Mus musculus: one gene and its partners. The protein of the gene in region 5 interacts with the protein of the main gene of each other region in a pairwise test. Links are inferred from orthologs where the notes say so. Each region holds a gene or a part of one and is shown on either strand. Other genes may lie near its edges. The genes, in order: Ywhab, Hax1, Zbtb16, Rnf20, Htt, Rnf40 and Hypk.

What was found.
Region 1: the proteins of Htt (region 5) and Ywhab interact in binary tests that used the Homo sapiens proteins (3 or more experiments, as listed by UniProt). The link is inferred for Mus musculus from reciprocal best matches to the Homo sapiens genes HTT and YWHAB.
Region 2: the proteins of Htt (region 5) and Hax1 interact in binary tests that used the Homo sapiens proteins (3 or more experiments, as listed by UniProt). The link is inferred for Mus musculus from reciprocal best matches to the Homo sapiens genes HTT and HAX1.
Region 3: the proteins of Htt (region 5) and Zbtb16 interact in binary tests that used the Homo sapiens proteins (3 or more experiments, as listed by UniProt). The link is inferred for Mus musculus from reciprocal best matches to the Homo sapiens genes HTT and ZBTB16.
Region 4: the proteins of Htt (region 5) and Rnf20 interact in binary tests that used the Homo sapiens proteins (3 or more experiments, as listed by UniProt). The link is inferred for Mus musculus from reciprocal best matches to the Homo sapiens genes HTT and RNF20.
Region 6: the proteins of Htt (region 5) and Rnf40 interact in binary tests that used the Homo sapiens proteins (3 or more experiments, as listed by UniProt). The link is inferred for Mus musculus from reciprocal best matches to the Homo sapiens genes HTT and RNF40.
Region 7: the proteins of Htt (region 5) and Hypk interact in binary tests that used the Homo sapiens proteins (3 or more experiments, as listed by UniProt). The link is inferred for Mus musculus from reciprocal best matches to the Homo sapiens genes HTT and HYPK.

Annotation. Positions count from the first base shown.
Region 1 is NC_000068.7:164,008,697-164,012,196, forward strand, and holds part of Ywhab (14-3-3 protein beta/alpha), read left to right. Parts: intron 1-2,905; 5' UTR 2,906-2,908; coding exon 2,909-3,208; intron 3,209-3,500. UniProt on the Homo sapiens protein: Adapter protein implicated in the regulation of a large spectrum of both general and specialized signaling pathways. Binds to a large number of partners, usually by recognition of a phosphoserine or phosphothreonine motif.
Region 2 is NC_000069.6:89,995,917-90,000,211, reverse strand, and holds the start of Hax1 (HCLS1-associated protein X-1), read left to right. Parts: upstream 1-1,495; 5' UTR 1,496-1,631; coding exon 1,632-1,684; intron 1,685-1,713; exon of another isoform or gene 1,714-1,887; intron 1,888-2,108; exon of another isoform or gene 2,109-2,208; coding exon 2,209-2,474; intron 2,475-2,637; coding exon 2,638-2,825; intron 2,826-3,913; coding exon 3,914-3,965; intron 3,966-4,094; coding exon 4,095-4,201; intron 4,202-4,295. UniProt on the Homo sapiens protein: Recruits the Arp2/3 complex to the cell cortex and regulates reorganization of the cortical actin cytoskeleton via its interaction with KCNC3 and the Arp2/3 complex. Slows down the rate of inactivation of KCNC3 channels. Promotes GNA13-mediated cell migration.
Region 3 is NC_000075.6:48,829,726-48,833,225, forward strand, and holds part of Zbtb16 (zinc finger and BTB domain-containing protein 16), read right to left. Parts: intron 3,375-3,500; 5' UTR 3,286-3,374; coding exon 2,018-3,285; intron 1-2,017. UniProt on the Homo sapiens protein: Acts as a transcriptional repressor. Transcriptional repression may be mediated through recruitment of histone deacetylases to target promoters. May play a role in myeloid maturation and in the development and/or maintenance of other differentiated tissues.
Region 4 is NC_000070.6:49,638,560-49,642,059, forward strand, and holds part of Rnf20 (E3 ubiquitin-protein ligase BRE1A), read left to right. Parts: intron 1-65; coding exon 66-248; intron 249-365; exon of another isoform or gene 366-3,415; intron 3,416-3,492; exon of another isoform or gene 3,493-3,500. UniProt on the Homo sapiens protein: Component of the RNF20/40 E3 ubiquitin-protein ligase complex that mediates monoubiquitination of 'Lys-120' of histone H2B (H2BK120ub1).
Region 5 is NC_000071.6:34,760,316-34,764,539, forward strand, and holds the start of Htt (huntingtin), read left to right. Parts: upstream 1-1,424; 5' UTR 1,425-1,591; coding exon 1,592-1,794; intron 1,795-4,224.
Region 6 is NC_000073.6:127,587,226-127,591,497, forward strand, and holds the start of Rnf40 (E3 ubiquitin-protein ligase BRE1B), read left to right. Parts: upstream 1-1,472; 5' UTR 1,473-1,586; intron 1,587-1,699; 5' UTR 1,700-1,771; coding exon 1,772-1,903; intron 1,904-2,286; coding exon 2,287-2,454; intron 2,455-2,531; coding exon 2,532-2,673; intron 2,674-3,281; coding exon 3,282-3,488; intron 3,489-4,056; coding exon of another isoform or gene 4,057-4,089; coding exon 4,090-4,211; intron 4,212-4,272. Other genes in the region: Ccdc189 (coiled-coil domain-containing protein 189), read right to left, coding at 339-370, 652-864.
Region 7 is NC_000068.7:121,455,810-121,458,940, forward strand, and holds Hypk (huntingtin-interacting protein K), read left to right. Parts: upstream 1-1,278; 5' UTR 1,279-1,296; coding exon 1,297-1,482; intron 1,483-1,836; coding exon 1,837-1,892; intron 1,893-2,182; coding exon 2,183-2,234; intron 2,235-2,339; coding exon 2,340-2,435; 3' UTR 2,436-2,631; downstream 2,632-3,131. Other genes in the region: Serinc4 (serine incorporator 4), read right to left, coding at 1-32, 182-346, 646-744. UniProt on the Homo sapiens protein: Component of several N-terminal acetyltransferase complexes. Inhibits the N-terminal acetylation activity of the N-terminal acetyltransferase NAA10-NAA15 complex (also called the NatA complex).

The DNA of each region.
Region 1 (3,500 bases), on a different chromosome or scaffold from region 5:
TACTGCCAAGTTTGGAGGGTAGGGCCCGGATCTGTTTTACCATCTCATTTAGGAGCTCTTTGTGCATACCAGGCAATGTGCAGGAGACTGGGAGAGACTGGAAATAGAATACAAAATTTGGTTGATTCATTATAACCTTAGAAACAGAACAAAACAAAGTCCAGGGCTGTTACACAATGCTAGAGTGTAATATACATGAGGCTCTGAGTTCGAAGCCAGCCTGGATTACAGACTGAGTTCCAGGACAGCCGTGGCTATACAGAGAACCCTGTATAGAGAAAAAGAAGAAGAAGAAGAAAAAGAAAGATACCACAACCAAAGGCAAGCTAAATGAACAGTTTTAAATATCCGAAATATTGTGGTTTCAAAAGGTGGCACTAGTCACATTTTCTAGTGAATAGCCACATGTAGCTGGTGGCTGTGGTGTAGGGATCATGTGAGGAAGAGCTATTGCCTAGTGAGTGAGTCAAGACAGAAAGTGGATTTGTATGCAGACAGCCATTTTTACAGCAGCACGTGTGAGAGGGTTTGGTGTTTGTTGCTGTTCTCATGATCTAGGAAGACGCCATGGAAACAATCAGAGGATGGTTTTGATAGTTGAGACGTGAGGTAGCTCAAGATGGTGACCTGAAGTGCAGGTTGGGTGTTAGGTAGGCGAAGAAAGAGGGACTGTTTCATTTTTCCTTGTCTGTGCCTTCCTCCAAACTAGTAGATGTTGTGTAACCCATTTCCTGTTGAAATTGGCCCGGCTGCTCCAAATCCATGCTATGTAAGTCTTGAGTTATGTAAGTAAGCATCAGGGCCTTTAGTTAGTGTTTTCTTGTGTGTGTGTGTGTGTGTGTGTGTGTGTGTGTGTGTGTGTCTGCGCACAATTGAAAGTTTTAGAAAATACCCGTTTTCTTTTTAAAGACATACATTTATGTCTGCAGTAACATGATGGTTTTTAATCTTCAAGAACTCTGACAGTGTCAAAGAATCTTAAAATAGTTATTTTGGATTTGTTTATTTATTTTGATTTTTTTGAGACAGGGTTTCTCTGTGTAGCTCTGGCTGACCTGGAGCTTACTCTAGACCAGGCTGGCCTTGGAACTCACAGAGATCCACCTGCCTCTGCCTCCCAAGTGCTGGGATGGATTTATTTCTTTTTATGTATATAGGGGTGTGTGTGTGTGTGTGTGTGTGTGTGTGTATGTATGCATGCATGTGTATGATTATGTGTATGCATGCGTGTGAGTGAGTGTGTGTGTACGTGTGTGTACGCGCGAACGTGTATGCTTGTTGCTCACAGAAGCCAAAAGAGGGCATTGCATCATTGAAGCTAGAATTCTGGGTGGTTGTAAGCTGCTACAAGCATGAAGGGATTTGAACCCAAGTCCTCTTGAAAGAGCAGCTCTTCCCTGCTGAGTCAACTCTCCAGCCCCTGGCACTTCTCTTTGATGCTGCATGTCTAGTGTGGCATAGTCCCTCAGGAACTTGTTCTGTAGAAAGTCACCATTGGTGGGCTGCGCATAAGAATGCATGGACTTGTAGGTGACAGCTCTAAGAGAAAGGCCTAGGGTTTTCACTGGTTTTTGCCTGGGAGAACTGTCATTTCTGCTGACATTTCTTCTAGCCAGAATGCTTGCTGTTTGACTCTTAGCTGCTGTGGGATGCTGTGAAGTAGACAGTGAGAAGGGTCTTCTGTATTGGCAGGGTGTAGAGCTAAGGTTACTTTAAAAAAGAAAAAGCATCATGTATGTATTGTTATGTGTACTGTATTATATGTCCACACATTTATCTGTGTACCACATACACTCTGCAGCCAGAAGTGGGGTGAAAGTGGTCAGACCCCCTGGAACCAGCGCTATGAACTGCCCTGTAGGTTTTTGGAATTAAATGCAGGTCCTTTGGATTAGCGGGCAGCATAAACTTCAAAAAAAGTTATTAGGTGGCTGTCAACATGGCTTAGCAAGAAAAGGAGATTGGAGCCAAACTTGATGACCCAAGTTCAATCCCTGGAACCCACGTGGTGCAGGGAGAGAGCCAGCTCCCACAGTTATCCTCCTTTCCCCACACGTGTCCATGCATGCACTCTCCCATGGGCGTGTACACACAAATGAATGTTTAAAATACACAGAAAGTGTTTTAAAAGCACTTTCTGTGTATTGGGGAGGGGGATAGGATAGTGGAACAAAGAAGCTCTAGAAGAAGCAGGCAAGTTTAAAGGCCTTGTATTAAATAATAAAGCGTGAAAACTTCTATATAACGTTTAAAGCTGTAGGCCTTTTGCTGAGGCAGTCTCCAGCAGCCCATCTAACTTAGCCTGACTTCCAGCCTGCCCCAGCCAGGTGACTAGCGGTTTACCTCTCTGCTCTGCTCTGCTCTGCTCTGTCAGTGTCCTTTCCCTGCTGCCTTCAGCTCCTTCAGCCTGTCTCCCCTGCGGCACTCTCTCTGCCCAGAAGGTCCACCCTTGTACTTCCTGCCCCAGTGGTGAGACAACTCCAGATCGCCTCTTTGGTTGCCTAAGCCATTGAGGGTTGTTACAAATAGGAAGCTGGTGATGAGCTGTAGCAATGACAATACCAAAATTCTGCCATCACCAGAATTAACAATTTAAAATACATACCTTAATACAATATGGAAAAGGTCACTCCAACAGTCTTGACTTCCACTGTGTTCTACATGCTGGGCTCTTCTGGGTTCATTGTTTTCTTTCTTTTAATCTTCATGTTTTCTAAGAAGGTAGAAGGGTTTTTGGGATATGCCTACCATGTAGGATGGTTGATAACAGCTGACCAAAATGAGTTTTAAAGCCTTGGCCCAGTCTTGGCTCTGTAGACATTCAGTATATGATTCACATTCTTGATTGCATTGTAAGAGTGTTGGAAACCTGACATTTGCGTTCTCTGTGCTCTTGCTGTTGTAGAAAATGACCATGGATAAGAGTGAGCTGGTACAGAAAGCCAAACTGGCTGAGCAGGCTGAGCGCTATGATGACATGGCTGCAGCTATGAAGGCCGTAACAGAGCAGGGACACGAACTCTCCAATGAAGAGAGGAATCTACTCTCTGTTGCCTACAAGAACGTGGTAGGTGCCCGCCGCTCTTCCTGGCGTGTCATCTCCAGCATCGAACAGAAAACCGAGAGGAATGAGAAGAAGCAGCAGATGGGCAAAGAGTACCGTGAGAAGATCGAGGCGGAGCTGCAGGACATCTGCAACGATGTGCTGGTGAGGGCGGCGCTCCTGCTTTACACAGCATCTCTAGGCATAGCGAGCGGTCCAGATGCAGGCTCTCAGACAGCTTAGGGGAGAGAGAGAGGAGGTGCTCTGCTGGACTCAAGCTAAGAGCCACCTGTCACTTGTTCTAAAGCATGTAACTTGGGTTTTGTCACCGTTTCTTGATCAGTTCATCTTCTCTGGGGTGTTTTCCTTCCCTCAAAAAGACCTACAGCAAACAGGAACATTGCATAAACTTTCCTCCATTTTTCTTTAGAAATTGAAGTCAAATAAAGAGGCTATT
Region 2 (4,295 bases), on a different chromosome or scaffold from region 5:
TTACCGTACCAACTGGGGCCTCTTCTAGCAGGCTCGAAGGCTGTGGAATAAAGTGAAATCTTTGCCCTTTAAGATCTCTCACCTTAATGTGCTAATATTTTGCCCTTAAGGGGATTTCCTTATACATTCTGTGACTGGAAAGAACTACTGCAAATCTTCATTTCTTCTAGAAACTGCCTCATCTACAGCACGTTTCAGGAAGTGAAAGGGGAAGGAGCTAAGGACATTTAGAAGGCAAAGGACCTTGTGGGAATCTAAGCATGGTTTTAAAGGATTCTGAAGTCTCAAGCCAGCATTAGCTGCTGGCCGGCAGAACTCAATCTTGGGGTCTTTTTCTCTTTGGAGGAGTATAGTAGTTCTTGTTCTCTGAGTTATGTTTTTGAGACAGTCTCACTATGTAACCCTGACTGGCCTGGAGCTTGGTGTGGAGACCAGGTTGGTCTCACATTCAGAGATCTGCCTGCTTCTACCTCTTGAGTGCTAAGGTTAAAGGTTGTCAGCACTACACCCTGCCTTGCCTATTTTATGTGGCTTTGAAATGCCTACATTTTGGGAAAAGAATGGATGATCTTAGAGCAAGACCTGGGGTGGGGGCATGGTGCAGTAAAAGGTTTTTGGACTTCAATTACGTGAAAGAGAAGTTTCATTTTTCTTTGTAAGAGCCATATTGCCAGGGACTCGAGATCCTGTTTCAGCCTTCCAAAACTGCAAATATCCTCTGTGCTGAGGAGGTGAGGGAGGTCTGTTTATTTTGAGTCAGAGTCTCACTCTGTAGCCGACTTGCCTGAAACTCAGTGAGGAGCAGGCTGGCCTTATACCTCCCGAGTGGATTAAAACACCATCAAATTTCATTACGGCATGGTTTTCCCAAGACACAAGTAGCTTCTCGTTCCTGCCTAGTCTACAAATCTTACCTTGTTAGTTGGCCATCTGTTTAGTTTTTTAAAAGCAGCGTGTGGTGGTAACCGCCTTAAATCCCAGCATCTGGGAGGCATTAGGCAGGCGGGTTTGTAAGCCCCTTTGGTCTACAATCAGTTCCAGGACAGTCTGAACACCACACAGAAACCCTGTATCGAAAAAAACAAGCTTAAAAACTCCCTACTAGCTGAAGAGATTCCTAGCATCTTTATTCAGCAGTAGGGAAATCGCGGTTTAAGGAACTAGGTAACTTCGCCTAGCCTAGTATTAGACGTCACCGACATCAGTCTAAAACAAAACACAAGGTGGGGGGTGTTTTCTGATCCTGGGGTGAAGCAGGCCTCTGAACAGGCCACTCCCTCTGGCGGCTACCTGGGACCCTCCAGAGAGAAACGGAAACCCCCCTCGGGGGCCTGGCAGATCAGCAGGAGAAAGAATCTCCTAGAAGGGACGTGATCTTGAACTGGGAATTTCGCACGTCCACCCTCACTCAAAACTGAAAGGTAGCGTATAGAAGCTTCGTGTCTGAGGAGCACGGTCAGCCCCGCCTCTTCCTCCGGCTTACGACTTTTACGACAACGCCGCACCGTAGGGTTGCTTTCCGGCAGCGAACGCTGAGCCCTGGCTATATCCGACAGGGTAGCGTAAGCTGGTCGTGGTCTCGTGTTGCCCATGGGCTGCAGAGCTTCAAAGTTTCTAGTGCCCCTACTGGAATGAGCGTCTTTGATCTTTTCCGAGGCTTTTTCGGCTTTCCTGGACCTCGGAGGTGAGAATAGTTCTGGGCTGGATATACGGGAGGGGTGTTTTGGTGGACACTTGACCCCTTCATCATATTTTTGGAAAGCTTCCTTTCCCGCCCCCTTCAACTCCTGCTGAGAGGTCAAAGATCGCATTCTTGAGTACTCACCCCGCCACAGTAATCAAAGCAGTGGTTAAGAGGACAGAAACGGCAGCTTTCTCCAGACCTGGGTGATGCAACAGGGACCTGGGCGGAGAAAACAATGGGGGTCTGGGGAAGAGGACCATGAGCAAGTAATTGGGCGATTAGTAGTAGGCTGGATGACCCTGAAGAAAAACCATGGGTCGTCTGGCAGCTGTTGGGAGGTGCGGAGAGGCTCTGTTTAGAAACAATACAAAACCCTAATAGATCCATCAACGTTGTTCTGAAACCAGATCTCCTGTGTTTTCAGCTGCCCAGACCCCTCTTTGGCCCAGTTTGCTGCCCTTGTGTTGATTTTTATGGCTTAGACAGTGTTGAAGTCTTCGTGGCTTATTTGCCTTCACTCTCAGCCACAGAGATCCTTTTTTTGGAGGGATGACTCGAGATGATGACGACGATGATGATGATGATGACGAAGCGGAGGAAGACAGAGGCGCGTGGGGTCGAGAGAGCTATGCGTTTGATGGTTCTCAGCCTCCAGAGGAATTCGGTTTCAGCTTCAGCCCCAGGGGAGGGATGCGATTCCACGGCAACTTTGGCTTTGATGATCTAGTACGAGATTTTAATAGCATCTTCAGCGAGATGGGGGCCTGGACCTTGCCTTCCCACTCTCCTGGTGTGTGAATTTCCCTGAGGGAGACCCTATGGGTTTCTAGTGGGTTAGTGATGAATAACAGAACTTGCAGAGTAGTTGGGATAGTCTACAGAAATTGATTTTTAAAAGACTTAAAATGTTTAAGGCCTTTCCTATCCCAGAATCACCTACCAACTTTCTACAGAACTTCCAGGTCCTGAGTCAGAAACACCTGGTGAGAGACTGCGGGAGGGGCAGACACTACGAGACTCAATGCTTAAGTACCCAGATAGTCACCAACCCAGGATCTTTGAGGGGGTCTTGGAGAGTCATGCAAAACCTGAATCCCCAAAACCAGCTCCAGATTGGGGGTCGCAGGGACCTTTTCATAGGGTGAGTACTCTCTGCACCTGAACTGTAAGCCCTTGGTGGGATCTCTTAGAGTTGAGTTGCAATTTTAGCCCCTTTAATTAGTTCATTTATCCAGATTTTCTTCATTATTGGGATTTTCGTTTTGAAACTTACTTCACTGTATAGATTTAGATATCTGCCTGCCTCTGGATTAAATGTGTGCCACCACACCTCATCTAAGATTTATTTTCTTTTATATGTATGAGTGTTTTGCCTGCTTGAATGTCTCTGTACCACATGTACCTGTGCCCACAGAGGTCAAAAAGGATATTGAATCCCCTGGAACTCAAATTATGTATGGTTATGAGCCACCATGCTCTTGCTGGGAACTATAAACTATGGTCCTCTACAAGAGTGTCCCCTCCCCTCTCTTATTTGATTTGATTTGTTTGTTTATGTATTTTGAGACGGAGTCTCTGTAGTATTGGCTGACCTGGAACTTGCTATATAGACCATGCTGGCCTCAAACTCAGGGATCTCCTGCCTCTGAGTTTGTTAGTTAGGATTTTGTTGCTGTTTGTTGGTGTTTTGTTTTGTTTTTTGTTTGTTTGTTTGTTTCAAGACAGGGTTTCTCTGTGTAGCCCTGGCTGTCCTGGAACTCACTCTGTAGACCAGGCTGGCCTCGAACTCAGAAATCTGCCTGCCTCTGCCTCCGGAGTGCTGGGATTAAAGGCGTGCACCACCATGCCCGGTTTGACACCTTCCAATCTTAAACTTGAAGGTCAGAGAACCCATATTCCTCCCTTGTTCCAAAACCCCAGAAATACTTCCATTTGGGCAGCTTATATTCACATACCTTCTTCCTTAGTTTTATATGGACTTCTACGAAAAAGAATTCCTGAAATTCTTTCCTGCACTTTTAAGATTCGTTCTTAGCCGGGCGTGGTGGCACACGCTTTTAATCCCAGCACTCGGGAGGCAAAGGCAGGTGGATTTCTGAGTTCAAGGCCAGCCTGGTCTACAAAGTGAGTTCCAGGACAGCCAGAGCTATACAGAGAAACCCTGTCTGGAAAAAAAAAAAAAAGATTGGAAGGTGTTTTTTCACTGATTGTGTGTGGCTTCTTCTACAGTTGGATGATACATGGCCTGTGAGTCCCCATTCTAGAGCCAAAGAGGACAAAGGTAAGTCTAGAAGGAGGCACATTTACCATACCATTCTCCTGAAGTTCTCTCAGAAGGTTCTTCCTGAAAAACGTATCTAATTACCTGCCCTCCACTCTCTCCTGGCTTGTCATCTCTCTGCCCTTCCAGATCTTGACTCCCAGGTTTCCCAGGAAGGTCTGGGTCCACTTCTTCAACCCCAGCCCAAATCGTATTTCAAAAGTATCTCTGTGACCAAGATCACTAAGCCAGATGGGGTGAGTTGAGAGGAAGAAGTATAATCCTCTGGGGAAAGGGACCAGTATAAGAAAATACTAAACTCAGCATAGTGCTGTTAGCAATATATTGGGA
Region 3 (3,500 bases), on a different chromosome or scaffold from region 5:
TGTGTGTGTGTGTGTGTGTGTGTGTGTGTGTGTGTGTGCTTGTGGGAGCCAGAAATCTTCTTCAATCATTCTTCACATCCATATATATATATGTACATGTATATATACATGTATGTATATATGTATACACACATGTGTATATACATACACACATATATATACAGATATATGTATGTGTATGTATGTGTATATATGTACACGTACACACATATATATATACATATATGTGTGTATGTACATATATACACATACATACACATATACATGTGTGTGTGTGTGTGTGTGTGTGTGTGTGTGTGTGTGTATGATGAGATCTCTTGTTGCGCCTGGAGCTTGTGAATTTGGCTGACTGGCCACAGTTCCAGGATTCCAGTCTATCTCCACCTCCCCTGGGCTATGATTGCAGCTGCATTTTGCTGAATTTGGGTTTTTTTTTTTTTGGTGTTGTTGGAATGCATGGCTTTTTACATATGCAGGTCCTCACATTTGCATAGCAAGCACTTTAACAACAGAGCTCTCTCTACCCCCCACACACACACCCAAAAACTGACCTTAAAAAGTGACTTTCCATATTACCCCCCTTTTCACAGCACATTCACATCCGGAATGATAGACCTATCTGGTCAAGGTTCAGGGGGGTGTTTCCTCTTAAGAAAAGCAAGAGCAAAAAACAAGCACAATTTCATCAGTCTATTTTTTGAGCAGCTCAAGTCCTAAGAAGACACATATCCGCAGTTGTTATTTTCTGTACTCTCTGGAAAAAGAAATGTTTACTTTTTTAGCTGAGTACCACTTTCCATAAGGTACAGCTCAGCTCGGCCGGTCAGGAAGCTTCCGGAGCACGCTGCGGGTAGAGGTGATTATATCGGTTTCCCACCCCCTCAAGTTCCCCCACCTAAATAAGCAACAGGAATGGAGGAGGAGGAAGAGTGCACACAAAGGTGGAAAATCCACCCAAGGTCAGCAAATCAGCCAGCCGGAAGTTGTGTAAAAAGTTAGCATCCATAACAACAGAAAACCAGATTTGTGGGCGCAACTGGTCCGACTCAGGGACGCGGGGCGAAAATGATGGGCTTGTAGTTTATGGCAAACAGAAAAGGCAAGCCCACTGCTAACTCCCTTCTCTTGGGCCAGTGCTCCCCAACCTGTTGTGCAGGAAGGATCTTCTTCATTGGGTAGCTACAAGGAACCATCACTCACAGGATGTCTTACTTTGCATCTTCCTGCCTTCGTAGAACTCAGCCGCAGCATTTTCCCTGTGTCTTACTAAAAGAAACACAACCTACCTCTGGGGGATATTGTAACAGAGGTGCAATTCCAGGTGAAGCACCTGTCCTAAACCAAACATATCACAAGAACTCAAAAGTGGGAAGGGCGTTGCAAAGATGAAGCCAGAAGCCAGAGGGCTAGCCTTTATGATAAGAGATGGCATGAGAAGAGGCTATATAGGCTGTAAGACCAAAACTCTTCTCCTTAAATTTAACTAAAGCTTTCTCTGCCTCACAATGTGCCTGCCAAAAGAGACACTTGAGACCTATGGGTACATACAGGACTTAAACGATCCCCAACCCCTGCTTTCATCATAGGCTGCCGACAGTGGGCAAAGAAAAAGCTAGACTGATACCATGGCTAGATCCAGATCAGAGGAGACCCTCAGCCTGAACCCCACTTTCTGCCCTTCTTCTCATCACTTTATTATTAAACAGTCACTCTAGGCAAAACAAAAGTGTAGTCCAAACCACAGAAAAACCAGATGGAGGCCCAAAAGCAAAATGGCAAGGAGGGCCTACAGGCTGACCCCAAGAGTTCCCTGATGTTACCAGCTAGACACCATTTCTCCTCACTGTCCTCTGAAAATAACCGTGCCCGCCTATGCCTCAATAATGAGAAGAATGGTTCGGTGTGGTTTTTCAAAGAGCACAAAGGAGTCAAGTCCCCAGATTCAGGATGGTCCTGGCATAAAGAAACGCTATGCAAGCCAGAGCATGGTTGCAGGGCTACTGCGGCAGGGGCTTACCTGTGCTGCTCCACTGCCTCGTTGTCCGGAAGCTCGACCCCACACACGCTGCACTGCTCCCCCAGAGGGCGGCTCTCAGCCTTCATGCCCACAGCCAGCTCCCCCAGCTTGCTGAACAGCTCCCTCTGGATGAAGCCCTGAGGCAGCAGACCCCCGTAGGTGCTGAAGTCCATGGAGACTGCCAGGGCAGGTTGCACATGGAGACCGGACGTCACTGAAGACGGCATGCTCAACACAGCATCGGCCTTGTGGTTGGGCAGCACCGAGTAGATACCCAAATGCTTCTCCACTGGGGGTGCCAGGGGCTCCTGCCGCCCAGGGGGTCCCTGGCCAGCTTCAACAGGAGGCGAGAGCTGCTCACCACTCTCCTCTCTCCCATAATGCAGCTCTCTGGCACTAGTGATGACACTGCCTCGAGTCGGGGTCCCAGGCCCCTCTTTGCTCCTCTCTTCAAGCTTGTCCCCCATCCCTCCTGAGATGCTAGACTCAGCTGCCCCAGGGCTGTCCTGGCCAGGGGCTTCATCTACCTGCATCATTTCCATCTTCACCTCAGCCACCCCAGGGTGTCGCCCACCCCCTGCCAGTGTGGGCTCCTCAGGCCCTGCAGGTGGCTGAAGAGTTCCTTGCAGGAGTGACTGTCCTATACTCATCAAGCTGTCCACGGCTGCCTTGGTAGGACTCATGGCTGAGAGACCGAAAGAGGTGGAGACTGAGGGGCTCTGGTCCACCATGGGCCCAGGGAGGCTCTGTCCAGCCACACTGGCGTAGCCACTCTCCTCGCTGGAATGCTTCGAGATAAAGATGTTCTTGAGGTATCGAGCCTTACGGTCCTCTTCTTCTTCGCCCCCACCGTCAGCCATGGTGGCCTCTGTGTCATTGTCATCAGATGCCTGGATGGTCTCCAGGATCTTCAGGCACTGCTCCTCCAGGTATTCGATCTCTAAAATCTCAGCTGCATACAGCAGGTCATCCAGGTCCTCCGCCTTGGCTTGCAGTGTGGCCGTGTAGGCGTACTCCAGGATCTGCTGGAAGGTTTTTGGCGAGAGGAAGTCTAGAGTATAGTGCTGGCTGTTTCGGTGGAAGAGGATCTCAAACATCTTGCTGGTGCAGGCTAGCACCGTCCGGTGGGCATGGAACTCCTGGCTGTCCACCATGATGACCACATCGCACAAAGTCCCAGCCAGTCGCATCTGATTGGCCTTGCACAGCAGCCCCGTGGGGTGGCTAGGGTTCTGCAGCTGGATCATCCCCATCTTTGTCAGATCCATGATGCTCCCCTGGGCTCAGGCATGGGGCTCTCTTTCCTTCTCTGCTCTGCAAGGTGGGGCGGTGTAGATGTCGGGGCCAGCAGAGGGGACTGGAGAAGAAGGGAAGAGAAGACAAAAGGGGTGAGCAAGTGACAACAACTTCCCCAGTGTCCCTTATAATAAAAAGTCAAAGGCTACAGTATGCCTCTACCCCAGAAAGAGGCTTGGTTGCGGGG
Region 4 (3,500 bases), on a different chromosome or scaffold from region 5:
GAGGGAAAATTTGCTATTTCCAGATTTATAATTTGGGGGGGCTTTTTTTCTCCCCATGTTCTCAGGGGATGGGCAAGAGCCAGCTTTCTCTTTCCTTGCTACTTTGGCTAGCAGTTCCAGTGAAGAGATGGAATCTCAGCTTCAGGAGCGTGTAGAGTCCTCCCGCCGTGCTGTGTCCCAGATTGTGACTGTCTATGATAAATTGCAAGAAAAAGTGGATCTCTTATCCCGGAAACTGAACAGTGGAGGTGAGGAGAAGACCAGGAGACAGGGATCAATGGGAGGCAAGAACTCAGCTCTAGGAGGCTTGGGGTGCTGCTCAGTAGTAAGGGAGAATGTGGCTAGGTGTGTGGCTTCTATTCCAGCACCAAAACGAGTAAGAGAGGAAAACTCAGTTTAACGAAGCTCCCTGGAGTTTTAACCCTTGTGACTCTCAGTGTAATTCCCATGACATGCTAACGATATACTTTCATAAGTAGAAGTAAACTTCTGACTTCAGATGGTGAGTTTTAATGTGTTCCTTTTCCTTTGGTGTATTTAAAGACAGTTAGATGAGGTAGTAAAGTAATAAGATGACTCCTGTGTTTGAAGAGATAGAATAGGAAACCAGTGGATGAAAAAGCCTTAAAGTAAAATGACCATTTGGAATACTTATTGAGTTTTATTACTGAAATTATGTTTGTACAGTATAGGAAGTATACTAAAATTATTAAAGATCTTTAGTCATTTGTGATAGATCTCTTTCTTAAATGCAGATAAAATGCCTTTATTTCAGGTTTTCAACATTAGCCATGATCTGGTTACAGTATCTTTTAAGAAGTTTTATTGTATATGTATATGTGAGTGTATAATTATATACACATGAGTGTAGGTAACTGAGGAGTTCAGAAGAGGGCATCAGGTCCCCCTGGACCTTGAGTTGTTGGCCACCTGACATGGATTTTTGGTAACTAAACTGGGGTTCCCTGCAAGAGCAGTACATTCTCTTATCCTCTAGCCATCTCCCTAACCCTCTGTTGTAGTATTTTAGCTGCCGTGATTATCATCAAGATATTTAATGTTTTAATCTCCTAAATAAATTAGTTAACTATAATGTGCTTTATTTACTAGGTGAGCAAATAAGAACTGTATTATTCTAGAATTTTATTTTCAAGAAAATTCTTAAAAATTGCTTCTTTTTTAGTACGGTAATTAATATGCTTGTTTATATTTTATTTTTTAATTAGGATACTACAGTTGAGAGTGGATGGGTATGACTACTCCTTCCTATTGCTATAAAACTAGCTGTGTGATACTTCTGTCTCCCATGGCTCTAATTGACTGCCTAGAGGGTATTGTTAAACCACTCTAATGTGGGGAATGTACAATGTGCAGAGGTTATTTTGATGCTACATTTGATATTTTAGGTGAATGTCAAGTACATTATTTGCTATATTTGTAAAGGAATTAGACTGAATAGAAAATAAAACTGAACTAAGAACTGTTTTGGGGTTCTGTGTCTACAAGATTGCTCAGCTTTGAAGGCTCTTGCACAAGCCTGATAACAAGCGTTTAATCTCTGGTTCCCACAAGGTGGCAGGAGACAACCAATTCTTGAGGGTTATCCTTTGACCTCCAAATTCACGTGCCTGTACACACAGGACAGACCCATGCATACACAGAAACAAAAATTATTTTTTGTAAGTGTGTTTTAAGATCAAGTTTAAGTTAAAAAAAAAACACATTTTATTTTAAATTCTAAATAGTTAAGCTGTTTGTGATCCAGAGGAAATCTGTGTTGATAAAAAAAGTAAAGATATATATCTTTATATCTATATGAATTATAATGTATATTATAACTCATAACACATATATGTATATGTGTGCTATGAATTATAATACTGAGTAATAACTTTTTAGAAGTTCATTTTCACCCATGGTTTCATTCTTGTTTAGATTTATGGCTTATTTATTAATTTACTAACACTCACTGGGTTTTAATTGAATTTTAGGGCCTGGCTTCAGAACTTAGGGTATTGAAGAATGAAAATTTAGGCATTAGTTTTTAACTCAGGTTGACTCAGTCGCCGTTTAATTATGTATTTATTTTGCCATAGCTATGGAGAGTCTTAACTAGAGGGTTTTGTATGAGTCCCTGGGAATTGTCTATCTTGAAAGTCTGATAAATGATTCAGGTGGGCAATCCTACATGGAAACTGGGAACCCGTGACTTGACTGATCTGTTGCATGAGTACTGAGAGCAGTAATAACAAGTGGTGTAGGAATGCTTTTTCCTGGCAACTCTAAAGGATAATGTGTGTCTGGAGACTAATTGGTTCCATTTATAGCACATAGATTGAGCTGTAATAATTATGACTAATTTTAAACACCTGAATTCAGCATAAGAAATTCTAAAGATGTAACTTGTAAATTTGTAAATATTATGTACATTTTTGACTTTGAGCTTCAGGAACTTTAGACCGTGTACAACTGTGCTTACCCAAGGCTACCTACTCTCCACCTTGATGCCCTTCCCCCATTGTGTTTGATGCCATTGGATATTCATTCCATTACGAACAGTGGCCAGCCAGGTGTGGAGTCCAAACTGTCAAGTCCAGCCTGTGCAATGATGTAGTGATAATGCAAAGTAAAGCCTTTATGTCTGGCTTTGAGTAAAATGTTCCAGCAGAGCCTATGCTTTGTTTGGGTTGATCCATAGAGGCTGAGAAACTTTTTTTGAGACTGTTTGAACTTAAAGAAGAAACATTGTGTCTCTTGAAGGTCTGCACTTGGTGCTACTTGAGAGCTTGCCACTGCACAAACCTTGATCCTAAGACACTCGAGGCAAACCTGGAGTTCTTCCTCCTGATTTTTGGCTAGCCATGATCAAAGGGACTGAGATTCGTATGGGTCATTTGCTCTCTCTGGTAGCAAAGGAAAGAAAATCAACCTTGATAGTTGGAACCTTTTCCAGACCCAATTAATTTTGTACTTAACATAATATTGTGATAAGTGAGTTCTGTGTTTTTATCTTTGTTCATTGGGATTTTTATATGTGATTATTTGAAGATAGAAATTATGCTTCCTGTCTCTCCACCACAAAAGAGAGATGCTTCATGTTGTTATTAGTTAATAATAGGAGTTTGTGATTACCTTATAAAATAAAATTGTATTGCTTTAATTTGGACACTGCTTAGAAATCTTGTCTGTTCTAAATTCTAAAGTATCTATTTTTGGTGATGGTAATTGTATGTGAATACAATGATATAGCCTTCATTTATTTGTTCAAGGCATTTGTCTTAACAGAGATGAGAATAGGTGATGGTTGCAGGTTGACTCATTTATATAACCAATTACCTATCACCTGACCTGGGTGCTTCCTGTGTCCTGTGAGATAACACACTAGGTTACTTTCTGACATTCTGAGGATAGTGAGGTGAGCCATCAGGTTGATGCTTTGATGCAATAGATGATTGTACAACTTAAGACTATTGATACTAAACTAAAGTGCAGTTCTTCTT
Region 5 (4,224 bases):
TTCGAGAAAATGGAGTGCCTTATGGCCATGGAATAGGGCATTTGATTCTTACAGGTAGCCTGAAGCTTCATTGGGTTTCTCACTGCATGGATCACCTCCAGACAGCTTTTTCTGAAGCCGGAACGGTTTTGTTTGTTTGTTTGAGACAGGGTTTCTATGTAGCTCTGGCTGTCCTGGAACTCACTTTGTAGAACAGGCTGACCTATAACTCAGAGATCTGCCTGCCTCTGCCTCCAGACTGCTGAGATTAAAGGTGTGTTCTATCACTGCTTGGCTTTTTCCTTTTCCTTTTTCTTTTGAGACAAGTTCTGATACAGCCCATGCTGACTTGAATTCACTATGAAGCCAAGGAAAACCTGGAACTCCTGATCCTCGTTCTACCTGCAGAGTACATGATTACCACCCCTGGTTTATAAAATGCAGGGATTGAACTCAGAGCTTCGTGCATGCTACTCAAAAAGCATTCTACAAGTGCTGTGATTAAAGGCATGCACCACCATGCCCGGTTGAAGCCAACACTTTTTGCTGGGCAGACTGCAGGGGCAGCTTGGGTGTATCCACACCATTTTCAGCTTCCTGCTTTAATTGCTCACCTTTGGGAGATGGAGGCTCTAGAGACAAGGACTTCAGCGCTGGTGGCAATGAGACCCCTTGTAGGTCCTGGCTGGTTGCCACAGCACTTTCCAGGGTCCGTGTCTCAATGTAGAGTGTGTGACCAAAGTTGCATGAAACACAGCCTTTCTTTGGACAGTAACTACTGCTGCCTGCCTGAAACCCTTTCTCAGCCTTCGCTGCCTGCTTGAAACCCTTTCTCAGCCTTCTCTACTGCAGACACTTCTGGGGCTTCGGGGTCCACGGATCATAAAGGGTTCTTTGGTCCTGAATACAGGTCACTCTGGTTCCCTTCTCATTGCAGGGAGCTCCCAGCACGCTGCGTTCGGGAAGCTCAGGCCACCACCTGGCTTGTGGAAGAGAGAGCTGCTTTGGGTTTCGGGTTCCGAGCTCCACAATCGCTTTCCCGGTGACTCCAGGTGTAGGGTGGCTTTACGCAGGAAAATTTCTTCGCTGTCATTCCCCTTTCCAACCTTTTCTTCCTTCCGGGTCTCCCCAACTCCTCTGCCCACCTCCTCACTTCTTTTCTATCGCTGGTGCCAGGGAGCCGCCCTAAAGCCCACTCTCCGCTCAGCTCCGTCCCTCATCTAGCAGCCCGCCCCGCCCACCTCATCCTCTTGCTTGGCCCTCTTCACTAAGGGGGGCTGGCTTTTGCGGGAAGGGGCGGGGCCACATCGGCGGGGCGGAGAGTCTTAAACTAGCAGAGGCCCCGCAGGCCTGCGTCCTGACTTCGGGAAAGAGGACGACGCATCCGCCTGTCAATTCTGCGGGTCTGGCGTGGCCTCGTCTCCGCCGGCATGACGTCACGGGACGCACTCGCCGCGAGGGTTGCCGGGACGGGCCCAAGATGGCTGAGCGCCTTGGTTCCGCTTCTGCCTGCCGCGCAGAGCCCCATTCATTGCCTTGCTGCTAAGTGGCGCCGCGTAGTGCCAGTAGGCTCCAAGTCTTCAGGGTCTGTCCCATCGGGCAGGAAGCCGTCATGGCAACCCTGGAAAAGCTGATGAAGGCTTTCGAGTCGCTCAAGTCGTTTCAGCAGCAACAGCAGCAGCAGCCACCGCCGCAGGCGCCGCCGCCACCGCCGCCGCCGCCTCCGCCTCAACCCCCTCAGCCGCCGCCTCAGGGGCAGCCGCCGCCGCCACCACCGCCGCTGCCAGGTCCGGCAGAGGAACCGCTGCACCGACCGTGAGTCCGGGCGCCGCAGCTCCCGCCCGGGCCCCGCGCCCCTGGCCTGCGTGCTGGGCATGGCCAACACTGTTCCCTGTCCAGAGGGTCGCGGTACCTCCCTGAGGCCAGGCTTTCCCGGCCCGGGCCCTCGTCTTGCGGGGTCTCTGGCCTCCCTCAGAGGAGACAGAGCCGGGTCAGGCCAGCCAGGGACTCGCTGAGGGGCGTCACGACTCCAGTGCCTTCGCCGTTCCCAGTTTGCGAAGTTAGGGAACGAACTTGTTTCTCTCTTCTGGAGAAACTGGGGCGGTGGCGCACATGACTGTTGTGAAGAGAACTTGGAGAGGCAGAGATCTCTAGGGTTACCTCCTCATCAGGCCTAAGAGCTGGGAGTGCAGGACAGCGTGAGAGATGTGCGGGTAGTGGATGACATAATGCTTTTAGGAGGTCTCGGCGGGAGTGCTGAGGGCGGGGGAGTGTGAACGCATCCAATGGGATATTCTTTTTCCAAGTGACACTTGAAGCAGCCTGTGACTCGAGGCACTTCGTACTCTCCTGGCGTTTCATTTAGTTTGTGGTGTAGTGTAGTTAAACCAGGTTTTAAGCATAGCCAGAGAGGTGTGCTTCTGTGTGTCTGCAGGCAGTTGGATGAGTTGTATTTGTCAAGTACATGGTGAGTTACTTAGGTGTGATTATTAATAAAAAACTATATGTGTGCATATATATGAAAGAGTCGACTTATACTTAACTGCCTATCGATTTTTTGTTCTATATAAAACGGATACATTGGTGGTGCTCAGTTTTCACCGGGGAATGAATTTTACTAGTGTTGCAGACAGGCTTGTTTTAGAACATAGGCCACTCTGACTCTGACTTTGTGCCAGTAAAAGTTCCTGTTTAGTTCTTTGCTGACATCTTATAGATCTTTGGAAGCTAGCTGCTTGTGACTGGAGAGAATATTGAAACAGAAGAGAGACCATGAGTCACAGTGCTCTAAGAGAAAAGAGACGCTCAAAACATTTCCTGGAAATCCATGCTGAGTGTTGAGCCCTGTGCTCTCTTGCAGCTCAGTCCTTTCTCTCAACTCTGGGCATTTTATTTCTAATCTGGATTTGTATAATTAATAAGGAGAACTTTTGGGAACAACCTACTAAAGAATGTCATCATTAAAACTCACTTAGAAAATAAGTGTTCTGGTGATATCATTGAGCTATGTTCCCAGTCCTGAGAGTTTGTTTTTTTTTTTTTTTTTAAATAAAGATTTGGGGAGAAAAGGTGGCTTACTTGATAGAACAAAATATAGGAATAAAATTTCCTTCTATAAGGTGAAAAGTGTGAATAGAAAACTTCTTATCCTCTAGATAAGTAGTTTCTTTTTGCTTTTGAGAGTCTCACTATGTAACTCTTGACCTGAACTCAGAGAGATCCATCCTCCTGCCTCTGCCTCCTCTCTCTGGGATTAAAGGCATGTGGCACCATGCTGGGCTGTCCAAGTATGCCACAGACCCTCTAGGTCCCTGGTCTTCGAGGAACGGGATTTCTTAGGCAGATGGGTAAGGAGTCGGATGAAAATGACAATCAGCCACACACAAGAGAGGTGTTGAATCTGAATGTAATGTTCTGGTTGAGCTTCAGACTTATATAACAACGAATTATCAGAGGATACAAATCACAAAAAGACAAGATACACTGAAATTCACCAGTTACAGCAGAAAGGAATTTGCAGGGACTAATTAAATGTTTACATTAGGGATAACAAGCCCTGCCTAGGATCAGCCTAATGCCAGGCAAGAATTTCACACTTTAAGGTTAAAAGCATCAGGGGGTTGTTAACTCTTGACAGGCCTTAAGAGTAATGTGCTATCACTGAGCTCTAAATTCTTAGGTCTAGTAAAACTTATCCTGTCTGGAGAGTTCCCCCTTATCAGGGTAGTATATCAACTTATACTTGACATGGAATGAAGCCTGTAGTAAAACATTTCTATCTCAGTGAGACTTTTAGTCTCTATCTGTAAACAGCTGAGTAAAATGGCAAGTGCTTAATTGTTTACTGAATGGGTTAAGCTCCTTGCTGCTATCTGGAATCTAAGAACACTGGGGAAAGGCTTTAGCTATGTTAGAATACAATATTAAAAGGCATTTACTATAAGGTGATGCTTAATAGAGTGCACGTGAATCTATACACTAGATTAATGTGGTGGAAATTTGAATATAATGGGTTAGGGAAAGAGATGCCATAACTCTGGGAGGAAAATTTCCCTGGACTCTTATCCTCGTGAAACAGCTTCCAGGCTTTTCGCCTGACAAACCGATCCAAACTGGAGAGTTGGCTTTCGCCAGAATATCCAGGAGGAGAGTCCTAGAAATTCATTTCTCATGAGCAGCTTTTTGGCATTTTTGCCTCACAAGCTGACTCCACCAGAGTACCCTGACACAAGTATTGTCTAGTTA
Region 6 (4,272 bases), on a different chromosome or scaffold from region 5:
AAAGCTACAAGGAGAAACAATGTCTTGAAAACCCCCCAAAAAACAACTTTGAGTCCTTGTCTTGCTCTGTGTGACCTTGATGAAGTCCCCTGGGCCTTGGCATCGGTGTGCACAGTGCTCCATCATTGCAGCTGTGTACATTCCTGCCTTTGCCTCCCTTCTCACACCGCCACTTTACACTGAGGCACCTGGCACGCTGGTGACTCGTTACCTTGAGCACTTCTCAGTCTCATCTTTGTAAAACTGGAGAGCCCTGGCTGGACAGGACTGTTGAGGACACCTTACAGGAGTAATACAAATGAGAAGTGTAACTTTTCCCCTGGGCTCTCCACACTCACCACATACAGATCCGGGGCTGGGGTAGTGGTGGCTGCGGAGAGAAGACAGATTATGGGACAAATAGATACGACAGTATGTATCCCCTAGTCCCTAGTACCTCATGAATTTCTAGCAGGTCTGAGTGTGCTATAATTTTAACTATAGCAAAATAGGTAAAACCGGGCTTCGGTGGGCTCGAAATACTATTTAGCAGCCTATTTACAATCAAAGCAACTCCAGGAAATTCCCTAATGTTGATAAACGTAATGACTGGCGGCACCTTTTTTGGGAAACCTAAGTATTCACTAGAGGACAACTCTGTCCCGCCCTCACCGGGAACAAGTTGGCTCCAGGATCTTCAGCCACTTCCACAGGGCTACTAGTGGCTTCTGCGGGCGACTCGGTCTGCATGTCTGTTCCGTTCCTTATGGCCGAGCCGTCCACCGAGCTGGGACTCCTGTCCAGTTCCTCCTGCAATTTGGGAGATTGTTCCGACTCCATCTGCACCTTCATTCCCAGGCTCTGGCTGGAACTGGGGGTAATCATCTCTTCGTCCTTCTTAGCCTCAGTCAAGGGCTCTCCAGCCTGGGCTCTGGGACAGCCAGCTCTCCCACTGCAAAGCCCGGTCCTGCCCCTTCTAGTGTTTCTTCAGAGGCGGTGAAGCGAGAGGCAGCCAATCCGCAGAGGGCGTCTTCCCAACTTGTCTCCCCGGTGACCGTTGTTAAGGAAAGTAGAAAGTACAAGCCCACGCCAATCATTGAAAAGATAGAGCGCATGCGTAACGAGTTGCACGTGCCTCTTAGAAGTTGCTTGTAAGGGTGCTTTTGAGGGTCGGTCTTTTTAAAGATTTAATTTAAATCTTTAAAAGATTGTGTTTGTGCGTGCGTGTGCGCACATATGTACAGGATGTTCGGGAGGGCTCCGCGGAGGCCAGGAGAGGATGACGGATCCTCTGGATCTGGAGTTACAAGGGGTCGTGTACCGAGTACCCCGAACAGCAGCAAAGGCTCCACCCCTCCATCTCCTAGTGCAACTGCGGGGTCAGTAACTATGGGAACCGCCTGCTGGCCAATCATTAAGAGAAATACAGTCCGTCGCGGGGTTGGAGGGGTGGGACTAAAAGACTCGAGAGGAGGAACCAAGAGCTACCAATAGAAACAGGAAATAAGTTTCGCCACATCCGGAGCGGCTCTGACGCCTGCGCTGTGCGTCTGGCGGCCGGTGACGTCCGGTGAAATCCAAGATGGTGGCGCTTGGCTGACCCTACGGTAAGTGCGGACCCCCGTCCGGCGGGGGCGGGGTCCGGGAGATATGTCCAGGGGGACGCTCAGGACTGCGGAGCTCCAGACGCATCCACAGCTCAGCTCTCTGTTTTCTGCAGGTGACGGAAGTGCCGCCTCCACCCGCCTGCCAGCCCCGGAGAGCCCTGAGTTGCCCCTCCGCCACCGCCGCTATGTCTGGCCTCAGCAACAAGCGCGCCGCCGGCGACGGGGGCTCAGGACCCCCAGAGAAGAAGATGAACCGCGAGGAGAAGACCACGACCACTCTAATCGAACCCATTCGTCTCGGCGGCATTTCTTCCACGGTTGGTGGGCTTTTGCGAAAGTCACATTTGGCCTGCGCCCAAAGTGTTTGGAATCTTGTGTGTGCTCGTGTGTATATACACAAACCGGGTGGTGAGGGTGGGTGTGCCAACGGCGTGAATGTGATCAGAGAACAACTTTACGGAGTCCCTTCTGGCCTTTTACTTATGCGCACATATGTTCCCGTAAGTCCTGTGTGATGTGTCTGAGTTGGAAACAGGTAGGGGCAGGAACGGAATGTGAAGCTCTCATGACTAGCATATTCTCTTTGCAAGTGTCTGAGCCTTGCTATATACCTCTCCCCTTTCAGTCTAATCCTTGTCCTATTGTGTGTCAGTGATGGTTCAGGGTCCTGCCCGACACTCTGCCTCTTCCCTTCTGGTAGGAGGAGATGGATTCCAAGGTACTGCAGTTCAAGAACAAGAAGCTGGCGGAGCGGTTGGAGCAGCGGCAAGCCTGCGAGGATGAGCTCCGGGAGAGAATTGAGAAATTGGAGAAGAGGCAGGCCACTGATGATGCCACACTCCTCATCGTCAACCGCTACTGGGCCCAGGTGGATGCCTGAAGAGCGAGCGTCCTACTGGGAGAAGCCCTGAGGCATTCCTAACCTCTTGTTCTTTCTTCTTTCAGCTGGATGAAACTGTAGAAGCCCTCCTCCAGTGCTACGAGAACCAGAGGGAACTGTCTTCAGGGACAGAGGTGCCTGGGTGCCAAGAGGGCCTGACCCGTGATGTGATCCCTCGACCAGACCCAGGGACATCAGATCTGAGGGGTAGGACCAGGGCCCTGGGGAGCTTATGTTCTCAGAAAGGTTTTGAGGAGGAGGTGACTTTGATGTGGGGCTACCGAAATGCCCGGCACTTGGGAAGCAGAAGTTGCTGTCCTGGAACTCACTTTGTAGACCAGGCTGGCTTCAAACTCAGAAATTTGCCTGCCTCTGCCTCCCGAGTGCTGGGATTAAAGGCGTGTGCCACCACGCCCATCGTGAGACTCTGTCTTAAAAACATGGGTTTTTTGTTTTTTTTTTTTTTTTTGGTTTTTTTAATATTCTTTTTTAATGGAATGAACAAAGTTTTAGAATCTAATTGGATTTTCATAATCCCAGCCTTCTGAAAAGTAGAAGCAGAAGTCTTTCTGTTTATCAATTAATTCATTTATTTTGGTTTTTCAAGACAGGGTTTCTCTGTGTAATGTTGGCTGACTTGGAACTCACTCTGTAGACTAGGCTGGCCTCAAACTCAGAGTGTGCTGGGATTAAAGGTGTGCGCCACCACCACCCGGCAGCCATGGAATACCAAGCAGCTTATTCTGGGACTTGGTAGAGGTTGATGGTCCCTGCTGTGGCCTTTCATTCTGATGAGGATTCTCTGTCCCTTCCAGAACCGCTGCCAGTGCAGTTTCGAGCCCCTCTCAGTGAGCCGGCCTTGGCTTTTGTGGTGGCACTGGGCGCCAGCAGCTGTGAGGAAGTGGAGCTGCAGCTGCAGGGTCGGATGGAATTCTCCAAGGCTGCCGTGTCTCGGGTGGTCGAGGCCTCGGACCGCCTGCAACGGCAGGTGGAAGAACTCTGTCAGCGAGTATACAGCCGGGGTTAGTTCTGTGGACCCTACCCTGAGAAATCCACCCTGGCCTGCGTTGTTCAGAGTCCCCAGTAAATGTCAGCCTTGTTCTTGTTGGGACAACTTAGTTCAGACGGGGATTTCAGCTTTAGTTCCTGAAGTGGGGCTCTAGAGAGACGGCTGGAGGAGCTGTTGATGCTGGCAGGGTCACAGCCCTTCAGCAGGAGGGCTCTCTGGAACTTTGCACCAACCTCAGGGGTAGCTATTGTCCCACTACACTGAGAGGCAAGTGCCCAGGCTTTTTGAGGCAAGGGGTTTTTTCCTCCTGCCCTTAATTCTCCTCCCTAGTGTCCATTTTCTTGGCTGAATGGTCCCTCTGTGAGCTAGCTTAGTCTGAGTTTGTCATAAGCAGTTGGTGAGATAGCTGGTGCATAACACTGAGCACAGAAACTCCAGGATCAACTAGTTCTTCCTTGGTTATCCAGGGACTCCAGGATCAACTAGTTCTTCCTTGGTTATCCAGGGACTCCGGGATCAGCTAGTTCTTCCTTGGTTATCCAGGGACTCCGGGATCAGCTAGTTCTTCCTTGGTTATCCAGGGTTTGGCTCTCATCCAGGCTTTGCATTCCCAGGGGACAGTGAGGCCCCTGGGGAGGTGGCACGGGTGCGCACCCGGGAGCTAGGCAGAGAGAACCGTAGGCTACAGGACTTGGCCACTCAGCTGCAAGAGAAACACCACCGCATCTCGTTGGAGGTAGGAGTTGGGCTTTGGGTGCGGTTAGAACTTGGGCAGGGTTTGGGTTTGCTATCCGAGG
Region 7 (3,131 bases), on a different chromosome or scaffold from region 5:
AGGTGGGCACATAGCACTGAGGGCATCTGGATCTGCAGGGAGTTGGTTGTGAGAAAAGTCAGGGCCAGCCACAATCTATGGACAGTCTCAACTTTTTACTGGTAGGTTGACTCCTTTGCTCCCTGTCCCAAATCTTAAAGGTTTTTTTTTTTCCCTCACATTGCAACCCTTGCCGACTTACCCCATGTGCTTTGCCCCAGACCCTTTCTACCACTGTCTTCGAAAGCAGGAGGCAGCAGATTGCTGAGGCTCCCACGTGGAGGAGGATGTAGAGCAGGCGGCTACACCTAGACTCTGTCAGAGAGTGGCAGCCACTGGTCCAAGAAACAGGTCCACAGCAGGATGCCTGGGGATAGAAGCAATGCAGAGTTTTTCAAAGGGTGTGGGGTTAACCAATGGTCAAATTCCCAAACCCTCCATCCTTCTGTCTGGTTATGAGCCTCTTAGGATTACCTTCCACAAAGCACTAGTAAGGTTTTCATTGCAAGAACTTTAAACTTTGGTGTATTCTTGAACCACTTAACTTTTTCCTAATGATCTATGGCTGGGAATGTGGAATGAGATGTTTACCTATTACCCAGGCAAAGAACCAGGTTTCTCATCCCAACTCCTAGCTTTTTAGCTATCTCTTCCCAAATGTCTCACCTGATTGAAGGGGGTTTCCACTACATTACTGACTCCACCGTGCTGCTGTGCAAGACCCTGGGTGGTGCTCCGGCCGGTGACAACTTTTGCACCCATCATTTTTGTTAGATGTAGATCCAGTATTGGAAAAACTGACGAGAAACAGCAGCTTCTCGGGATTTTCGCCCATTGGACAGTCGCTTTGCTGGCCTAATCATTCGTCTTAAGGCAGCATAGACATGTCATAAAATGAATACAGGTTACCAGGAAGTGGTAGATAGATGCAAATAGTCTTGTGAAGATGCCTTCGCCGGGCTTCCTATTCGGGATCATTCGGACTGTTATTCTGAGATTAGGAGCAGTTGGCCTATCAGGTCTAGGGATTAGGTTTTTTAATTGGTTTAGGATTAGCCACCTTGATTGGACAGAATTCCATGTGTGTGTCTCTATGTGTGAAAGGATTGCTCTTAGGAACAATGTGCCTTGGTGGTGTGGGTAGTGAACAGATAGTCGAAGGAGACTGCAGAAAACAAGCTGGAGAGGAAGTCAAAAGCGAACCTCTTTGCTAGCTGAAGCTTCTCAAGACAGGCACAAAGGTGTGGTCCACGCCTACCCCGCCCCTTATCTGGGCGGAAGCTGTGAGGGTTGCCGGAAGTTGTGAAGCGGCAGCCTATGCGGCGGCGCGGTGAGATCGAAATGGCGACCGAGGGAGACGTGGAGTTGGAGTTAGAGACCGAGACCAGCGGCCCGGAGCGGCCTCCCGAGAAGCCAAGGAAACATGACAGTGGTGCTGCTGACCTAGAGCGGGTTACTGACTATGCGGAGGAGAAGGAGATCCAGAGTTCGAATCTTGAAACGGTGAAGTTGGCTGGGAGCTTGTATGAGGGGTTGAGAGAGGGGCGGGAGAGAGGTGAGACTGACCGGTTTGCTGCTCACTGGGGCTCCGGGAAGGCTGATAGCAATGGTGGGATTTGGCAGTAGGGTGGGGCTAAGCGACAGCACCCACCCAGTCTGCTGTTTGCTTAAGAATTCGATAGAGATTGGGCCTAAATAGATCTCATGTGCACGAAATTAGGCGTAGTCCTTTGGTCCTGAGAACACTCGTAGTTGTGAATACCTGAAAACCACGTGGTTTTTATTTTTGGTATTGCGTTTTAGATCAGAAAATTTGCGTGGCACGGTGGTAGATAACTTGACTCGTGTTTTCTACAGGCTATGTCCGTCATTGGAGACAGACGGTCCAGGGAACAAAAGGCCAAACAAGAGCGGTAAGTTTAAAGCACACCACCAGCACTACCGGTAGGTCCTCGTTCTCCAGGGGAAAAAAAAGTTTACGTCTTTAACCAATTTCTACAGATCTAGGGATTACAACTTTGTTAGTGGAAGGAAAGATTCCAGGATACCTTACTGTAAAACCTCCAGGGGAAAGAGTTGGCGCGTTTATTTGCTATTTTCAGTAAACCTTGTTCCACCCATTTTCAGTGAGTAGCTGGGAGTGTTCCTTCTGGGAGTTTATAGCAGAGGCAGAGAATGAAAAGAAATGTATAAATATTTACAGGGAGAAGGAACTGGCGAAGGTCACTATCAAGAAGGAAGATCTGGAGTTGATAGTGAGTATTAATTTTTTAATGGATTCACAAGAGAAGTGCTACCTAATTTGGGCTCCTGAAACAAGTGGAGAAGAGGCTTTGGTGACGTGATTTTCCCTTTTGCAGATGACGGAAATGGAGATCTCTCGAGCAGCAGCAGAAAGGAGCTTGAGGGAACACATGGGCAATGTGGTGGAGGCTCTTATTGCCCTAACCAACTGATAATGTGCTTTTTTAGACATTCTGGACTGACTGACTGACTGAAATAAAGTGTTCTGTTTTGCTGTTTTTTTTTTTTCTTCAGTTTCATCTCAGATCAAATGCATTATATATTCTATTTTATTGTCAGTTTCTATGTTGGACCTTGATGAAACTGTGTGAACAATCAGTATAAAGAAGTACCTAATGTTCAAATGCAGGCTCTTATATTGTGTGTGTGATTCCTCTACTGCCATAGTGTTTCTAATAACTACCACATGGGAAACAAATTTAAGTGCCCTTTTCTACCAAGCCATCTTGCCAGCTCTAAGCAGCAGATACTAAGTGGTATGTTAGTATCACTCACCTGACTAGCTCTTTCTTGGCAATGTAGAGTACATTTGGATCCTCTGCAAAAGATCCAAATGCATATGTTTCTAGGATAGCTTATGCACTTTTCCCCTTGGATCTGTTCTTGTATAAACCAGGCTGTTTCCAAACTGAGACCCCTCCCTAACTTGAAAGCTGCTTCAACTAACTCTCCAGGCTAGCTTATGAGTATCAAAGGCTAGCATCTGTTTTGGGGGCTTTTAAGTTATCAACTGTATTTACAAACAACTGGAATAAACACTTAGGTTCTAGAAATGGGAACACAGATATCAAAATGTTGGATCAGGCCTGGAGAGGTGACTCAGTAAGTACCTGCCTCAAAAGCAAAAT